Linked DNA regions of Sus scrofa. Each later gene encodes a partner of the first gene's protein in a complex. Links are inferred from orthologs where the notes say so. Each region holds a gene or a part of one and is shown on either strand. Other genes may lie near its edges.

Region 1 (3,813 bases):
TTTTTTGAGGGCCGCACCCGGCAGCATATGGAGGTTCCCAGGCTAGGGGTCTAATCAGAGCTGTAGCTGCCGGACTACACCACAGTCCACAGCAATGCTGGATTCTTAATCCACTGAGCGAGGCCAGGGATCAAATGCTCAACCTCATGGTTCCTAGTTGGATTCGTTTCCGCTGTGCCGCGACAGGAACTCTCAGAATTTTTTTAAAGTAGCCAAAAACTGGAAATAACTCTGTGGGGGAGGAAAAAAATAATCTCCCCTTTAACCTGCTAGGTTCTTGGCTAAGACTCCACCGTAATGAAAGACAGATTAACAGGAGAAAAACAAACATAAGTTTAATGACAAATATGTCTCCTGTATACAATGGCAGAGGCCCAGGGAAACTGAAAAACTCCCTGAAATTGCCCAAGCCATCACCTTAAATACCAGCTGCAGCTAAAGACAAAAGGAAGATGTTGAAGAGGGAGGGAACCTGTTATGAGGGGTTATAAGGTAAAACGCAGTGGACAAGGGTAAGGTTGTTATGCAAATTTAAGTTGGTACCCTCTCCATTGATATGAGTTCCTAGAGATTTAATCACGTTTCCCTTCCAGGTTCTAAGAGGAAGAAACCTTACAAATGTAGATTTCCCTTACAAATATCAATTTCCCTCACTAAAGGGCAACTTCTATGCTGTTCTCAGGGGTTCTACTATGTCAACCCCTCTCAGAAATAACCATTCCCAAATAATCCTTAGGTCAAGGACAGTTGTTTTGGAAGTGGTGTATTCTGTTCCCCGTCATTCCTGCCTTTGAAACTTCACAATCCAGAAGAGGCTAAGAAGCTTCAAAATCCAGAAGCTGAGTCAGTAGACTGGTCCATTATTTCACTGAACCAGTCTCTCAGTCTTGAAAACAGGTCAGGTTATTTCAACAACTGTGTCTCATTTCAGGAGGGAGGCAGTGTGGCAGGTGGGATCCCAAAAATTAGATCTATATTGTGCAAGTAATCAGGTATATAAGAAGAAGCCATAATTTCTTTTTTTTTTTTTTTGCTTTTTAGGGCCATGGAGGTTCCCAGGCTAGGGGTCCAATCAGAGCTATAGCTGCCAGCCTACACCACAGCCGCAACAACACCAGATCTGAGCCGCTTCTGTGATATACACCACAGCTCACAGCAAGGCCAGGGATCAACCCTGCATCCTCTTGGATCCTAGTCGGGTTCGTTAACCACTGAGCCACAACAGAAACTCCCAGAAGCCATAATATTCTTAACTCATCCTGTGCCGGTCTGAACTGATGACTGAACTGTTTTACAACTTCCAGTCCATCTGTCCGTCTCTCACTGAAAGTAAGCATCTGAGGACAGGGATTCTGACATACTTGTGTAGAACTTAGTATGTGCAACAGAGTAAGCATTCCCACATGGATGAAAGGATGGATGGACAGATGGATGGGCAAATGGGTAGGACTCTTTATGGGACTTAATTAACTATTAAACTGATTGAAGACTATTAATTTGATTATTTATTGCGCCTCTCATGTGTCTCTAGTATTTGTATCTAACTTGGGAATGCTCCAAAGTGACAGCTTTTTCCTACCCATAAATTTTATTCACCAAGCTGACTCACCCATAGTCTGAAAGAGACTCATGTATTAGTTTGGTTGTAGCCCTGAAAATACCAAGTCTTAGCTCACATTATAAGAATAGAAGATGCCCTGTCATTTAGTGAGCCCTTATTGGGTACCAGGGACTTTATATACATAATCTCATTTCAATGTCAACTATCCCTATTTGTCAGGAACAGACTCTGAGGTTCTGAATTTAACCTGTTCCAATCCATACTCAGCAGCAGAGCTGCGATTCACGCCCAGGCTCTTTTCCTTAAAAACCCATCTCTTCTCTCTCCCCACTTTCCGTCTCTCAGGTAGAGATTACGTGGGTGCTCAAGTTAAAAGTGTCAACACAGAGTCAGTTAAGAAGCCCCATGGGGACCAAAACCTGACAGACCTGGACCTTCACAGTGCTCTGAGGATCTTGCACGTGCTCCAGGGTTGCGTCGACATCCAGGGCCACCACCAACCCAGATGTGAATCGCAAAGGGTTGTCTGACTCACCCGCTGGCTCGATAATGGTGGCTGAGGCTTTGTGGATCTGCAAGCAAGAAGAAAATAGGATTCTAAAGCCACGCCATTCCTCGGCAACAAAACAAGACCCTGCCTTTCTGACTCCTTAGCTAATGGGTGGATATTCGGGAGCCAATCCAAGGAAAGGCCCTAATCCAGCCGCTCCATGGGTCAAAGAGGATCACCAAAGTGAGCAGTTTTGACTCTTCGGACGGACGGACTTAGCTGAAGCGGGAGGACACAGACACCGACCTGCTCTGGAAGGGGGAGGTGCAGGAAGGTACACTGCCGAAGCATGGTATGCAGAATTTTGACCACTTCTGCAGGTTTGGACGTCATGAGTCGGGGCATGAGGTCAAGAAGTTTGTCCACAAAGCTGTCCTGCAAGTGGGGCAGATCAGCGATGAAACACCTGAAGGAGCAAAGAGAAGCAACTATGACAGTCATTCACCACAGGCTGAGCCCCAAACATCTGCCAAGCCCTGAAGGGGTGAAAAGGATGAACTAGAGAAGTTCACGGCTCCTGAGGAAGCCATGGACCTAGATAATTATGCTGTAGTGACATGACCATAACCTTGTTGATTAATTATCTATTAATGTTTATTATTTTTTAATTTTTAAGAGCCACACCTGTGGCATATGCAAGTTCCCAGGCTAGGGGTAGAATCGAAGCTGCAGCTGCCAGCCTACGCCACAGCCGCAGCAACACCAGATCTGAGCTGCGTCTGCGACCCACACCACAGTTCACAGGAATGCTGGATCCTTAACCCACTGATCAGGGCCAGGGATCGATCCCACAACCTCATGGATACTGGTCAGGTTCATTACTGCTGAGCCACAATGGGAACTCCCTAATTTATTTATTTTTATTAAAGTATAGTTGATTTACAATGTTGTGCAAATTTCTGCTATACAACAAAGTGACCCAGTCATACATATATATATGTACACACATTCCCTTTCTTTTTTTTTTTTTTTTTTTTGCCATTTCTTGGGCCACTCCCGTGGCATATGGGAGGTTCCCCGGCTAGGGGTCTAATCAGAGCTGTAGCTGCCAGCCTACGCCAGAGCCATAGCAACGCGGGATCCGAGCCGCGTTTGCAACCTACACCACAGCTCACGGCAACGCCGGATCGTTAACCCACTGAGCAAGGGCAGGGACCGAACCCGCAACCTCATGGTTCCTAGTCGGATCTGTTAACCACTGCGCCACGACGGGAACTCCACATTCCCTTTCTTATATCATCTTCCATCATGGTCTATCCCAAGATAGTCTTGTTTATTAAATATCTATATGGGCTAGGCATCTTCTTAAGTGTTCTTCACTATCTTATTTAATCCCCCCAGCAATCCTGTGTATTAGCAGAATTATTATTATCATGTTACAGATTCATTAATTTAACAAATGTATCTTTAGGACTTACAAAGCACTGGGGACATAACAGTGAGCAAAAGAGAAGAACACAGCTGTCTTGGAGTTCACGTTGTGGTGCAGTGGAAATGAATCTGACTAGTATCCATGAAGACTCAGGCTGGATCCCTGGCCTCGCTCAGTGGGTTAAGATCCAGCATTCCATGAAGTGCGGTGTAGGTCAGAGACGTAGCTCCAATCTGGTGTTGCTGTGGCTGTGGCATAGGCAAGCAGCTATAACTGTGATTCAAAACCTAGCCTGGCAATCTCCATATGCCACAGGTACGGCCTTAAAAA
Region 2 (4,537 bases), on another chromosome or scaffold:
TCCGTTGCTCTGGTTTTTGCCAAAGTATCTGTCCTTATTTGTTTTCTTTAGTTCTTCAGTTTCTTCCTTGCTAATTTATGTTTTCAACTATCATCAGTAGAGCAGATGATTTCATATGTTTATTCCCACTCAGATCTCTCTTAAGCTCAAACCCCATATTTCTAATTGCTTAGTAGACATGTCTACCTAATTGTCCCAATGGTTTCTCAAATTCAATAAAGACTGAAATTGAGATTATGAATATCTCCTACCCCAAAGTTCCTTGTTCCGCACTTTCTTTCAATAAATGACATACTCTCCGTTAATCAGGCCTGAGGCCTACATTTTTGCCTGAGTCCTCCCCAATTCCTATATTTCAACATTTCTCACATTTGTTGCTATTTTCCATTTCCACTGCTACTACTCAGATTCAGGTCTTTATCAGCTTTTTGCACTGTAGCAATAATCTAGTGATTGTCTTGGACTTCAATACTGTTGCCATATTAATGTTCCTGTTAACACATCTCCCTATCTCCCTTCCTCCCTCCCTTCCTTCTTCTTCCTCCCTCCCTGCTTCCTTTCTTCCTCAAAAATTAAGACTTCCCATTCCCTTTAAAATAAAGCCTAACTTCTTGGCCTAGCATTTAAAAAGATTCAGTAGGAGATCCCATTCTGGCTCAGTGGAAACTAATCTGACTAGTAACCATGAGGTTGTAGGATTGATCCCTGGCCTCGCTCAGCAGGTTAAGGATCCGGTGTTGCTGTGAGCTGTGGTGTAGGTTGCAGACTCAGTTTGGATCCTGTGTGGCTATGGCTGTGGCATAATGTGGCAGCTGTAACTTCGATTCGACCCCAAGCCTGGGATCCTCCATATGCCTCAGGTGTGCACCCCCCCAAAAAAAAGACTCAATAACTGGCACAAAAACTAATTCTTCATCTCCAGATCTCCCATAGACCAGAATCATTAGCTGGACTTGCTACTTCTCAATTTTTTTTCTGTCTGGAGAGCTTTTTTACCCATTTTCATATTTCCATATCCTATCAAGACCCATGAGGGTACTGATGAGGACCCTACTCACCCAATAATACTAATAATCTTGCTGAATTCCCGTCGTGGCGCAGTGGAAACGAATTTGAACTGGAACCATGAGGTTGCGGGTTCAATCCCTGACCTCGCTCAGTGGGTTAAGGATCATGCGTTGCTGTGAGCTGTGGTATAGGTCGCAGACGCAGCTTGGATCTGGCGTTGCTGTGGCTGTGGTGGAGGCCTGCAGCTACAGCTCCGACTGGACCCCTAGTCTGGGAACCTCCATAAGCTGCTGGTGCGGACCTAAAAGGACAAAAGACAAAAATAAATAAATAAATAAATAAATAAATAATAATAATAATAATCTTGCCCTCCCCTGGGAAATCTTGGAGTGCATTCTCAAGGTACTGGAACTTTCTACCTTGAACCACAGTCTTTTTTTTTCTGTTTTCTTTTTTTTGCACATTTGTTATATTCTCTATAAATCTCTGACTACTTTAAGGGGAAAGGCTATCTTTTTACCATCACGTTTGTATTTTGTAAAGTACCAAAAAATAATGGCCAAAGAATTATTAGAGATCAAAGGATAATAGTTTTTTTCCTTCTACACAATTCTAATCATTTCCAAAGTCCCTCTGCAATAAGCAACAAAAAAGAAACTCAAAGCTATTACCACCCTCCAGACTCCTCCCACCCCCAATCCCACCTCAAGCCCTCAAATATCAAAAAAGCAAAAACAATACAAAGCAGAAAACACCTTTTTCATGACATGGGATTTGTACAATGTTCCTATCTGCATTACTCTCTACCCAATCCTCCATGTGATTTAAATTCATTAACCCCACTAGACTGTAAACTCCATGCAAGAAGGGAATTCTTTTATTCAGAACTGTTACATACCTAGTGCTTGGAATTTAACATATTCTCAAAAATATTTGTTGAGTGAATGCACTAGGGTTTTTTTAAATGTCACTTTCTAGGGCTTCTGTGATTTCTCCAACCTAAATTGGGTATTCATATATAAATATATGCTTTCCTCTAGATCCCATTATCTATCTTACAAGCTAACATTAAAAGAAGTCCAAAGTTGGAGTTTCACGTGCACGAGATGAAGGAAGCTGAACCTATTCAGGCAGAGTGCAATATTGGGGTTGCCACCTCAATAACGGCTCTAGAAAGCTTTGCCCTTTGCAAACTCATGCAACTCATCCTAATAAATACCCTTTTAAAGATACTGCCCTTTTTATTCCTCCTGGATCTTGGCCCTGGATTACACTGATGACCTTAGGCACACATCCGGAAACGACAACAGGCGGAAAGAACCTAATTCCAAACCAACCAACCGACAGAAAATCTGAAAAACGACACTCAGAAAAGGAATATCAATCTTCTGATCAAAGGCAAGACCCACCGAAGGCCTAACATCGGGAAGGGTCTTGACAAGTGAGCCCAATGAAGATGAGAGGAGGCAGAGGGAGCTGCACAGAGAAGTCGCCAAAACCTTCCGAGGAAGGTCCGAGACAGGGTTCCAAGGTCCCAATCCCTGGGGCTGTAACCTCGGTCCGCTGACCCCAGCCTGCAAAACCTTCGGGGGAAGCACGACCCCAACTGTAAGGGGAGAATGGTCAGACTGGGCATTCGACCGCCTGCAAATTATGAGTTTCCTCACAAGAGGCGAGGAAACTAAGACCGCACAGTACTACCGTCCCACTTCACCCCTCGCGGAGGTCTCAAGCCTCCCAGAGGCGGCTGGGAACCGAGGGGCTCGTCGCAACTCACCGCTCCGCCCCGCTGCTCCGTCCGTTCCCGGTGGCCTGACGAACAGGTCCCAGCACTAGCCCGCCGGGAGAGCGGAAAAACAAAAGTTCCCGCAGCAGGGTCGACTGGGGAACGTTTTCACTGTGCGACGGGAGGAAGTGACGTAACCACCTTCTTCCGGTGCGCCGGATTATGAATGACGGCAGGTGCTGCTGTTTCCCCGGCGCTGCTTCTGTTGTTTTTTTCCCTGCCGCGTGGAGCTGCGAGCGGTCTGCAGGCGAAGACTTCCTAAAGCGACCTCGGGAAACCCGGCTCGGGCGGGGCGGGAATGCGCTGGCGGCCAGTGTTGACACGTTCACGCACCCTCCCTGCCTGGCCGCGCCTCTGCGACCAGGTAAGGAGGGCGCTCGCGCCGCCGGCTCCTCAGTCCTCAAGACCCTGCAAAGACTCCTCTTTCATCCAGGGACCGGCAGGGTTGACGATGCGAAGAAGGGCGGGAAGAGTGGAGGGGTCCGGGCCCCTTCGCAATTTTTCCAGGGCCAGTCCCCATGGCTTCATTTACTGAAGGGGAAAGGAGCAGCTTCCAGTTGCAGCAGTCTGTTCGGTCGTTCGCCATTTGCTGCTAAGTGTAGTTAAGACCTCTTGGGTCACTCTTTTAACTTTTATCTTTTTTTCTACTGAGTTTTCTATTCCAGCCCTTCCTCATTGGAGAAAGCAGTAGTATGTGAATACTACCTAACAGTTGCTCCAAAGAACCCCCTACATTTTGGGCGATTTGTTTCTGCACTACCATCAAAGTAGCGTTTCACTTTGGTTTAAACTCCTATAGAAAGTTTGGGTTTAACTTGCATGAAAATTGCTTTTACTTCAGAAACGTTTACTAATACACGTACTTCCCACACCAATTCTACTTGGTTTGGGATTAGGTGACTGTTTGTTTGTTTCGGCTTTTTAGGGACACACCCTTGGCATATGGTAATTCCCAGACTAGGGGTCCAATGGAAGCTACAGCTGCCGACCTACACCACAGCCCTAGCAATGGGATCCTTAACCCACTGAGGCCAGGGATCAGACTAGTGTCCTCATGCACACTAGTCGGATTCGTTACTGCTGAGCCACATCGGGAACTCCTTTTCCCCTTATTCCCCCCCTTTTTTTTTTTTTTTTTTTTTTTTTTTTGCTTTTTAGGGCCACAGTCTAGGCATATGGAAGTTCCTAGGCTAGGGGTGGAATCTGAGCTATAGCCACCAGCCTAATCCACAACAACTCAGGATCCGAGCAAAGTCTGTGACCTACACCACCACTCAGGGCAAGGTGGGATCTGCGACCCACTGATTGAATCCATATCCTATGGATACTAGTCAGATTCATTTACACTGCGCGGCAATGGGAACTCCGCCGATACTCTTAAGGTCATGATCTCTTAATGCCGGGAGCCCATTCCTTGTCATAAGTTCTTGCCAACATTTAATAATAGATCTTGTGCTAAATTATTTAAGAAAGGTAGAGTATGTTTACATTTTTCTAAGCTTATCTAGGAACAGTGTTTAAAGGAGAAAAATGCAAAAGCTGGCAAGACTAGTGGTGTGACAATATAAACATTAACCATGGCCATTTAAATATTATGAAAATAAATTCTTTGCTATAAATTCAATTGATTGATTTGCTGTTGTATTTAATAAATCCAACATTAAGCTCTGGGACTTTTTTTAACTACCTGGTGGAGAATATACTCTACTGAGATGATTGCCTTAAGCATACTCATTATTTGAA

Evidence for each region.
Region 2: INTS4 (region 1) and INTS12 share a complex: the UniProt entries of both Homo sapiens proteins name them as parts of the integrator complex. The link is inferred for Sus scrofa from reciprocal best matches to the Homo sapiens genes INTS4 and INTS12.

Annotation. Positions count from the first base shown.
Region 1 is NC_010451.4:12,320,545-12,324,357, forward strand, and holds part of INTS4 (integrator complex subunit 4), read right to left. Parts: intron 2,518-3,813; coding exon 2,358-2,517; intron 2,134-2,357; coding exon 1,990-2,133; intron 1-1,989. UniProt on the Homo sapiens protein: Component of the integrator complex, a multiprotein complex that terminates RNA polymerase II (Pol II) transcription in the promoter-proximal region of genes.
Region 2 is NC_010450.4:116,030,251-116,034,787, reverse strand, and holds the start of INTS12 (integrator complex subunit 12), read right to left. Parts: upstream 2,925-4,537; 5' UTR 2,786-2,924; intron 1-2,785. Other genes in the region: GSTCD (glutathione S-transferase C-terminal domain-containing protein), read left to right, coding at 2,957-3,158. UniProt on the Homo sapiens protein: Component of the integrator complex, a multiprotein complex that terminates RNA polymerase II (Pol II) transcription in the promoter-proximal region of genes.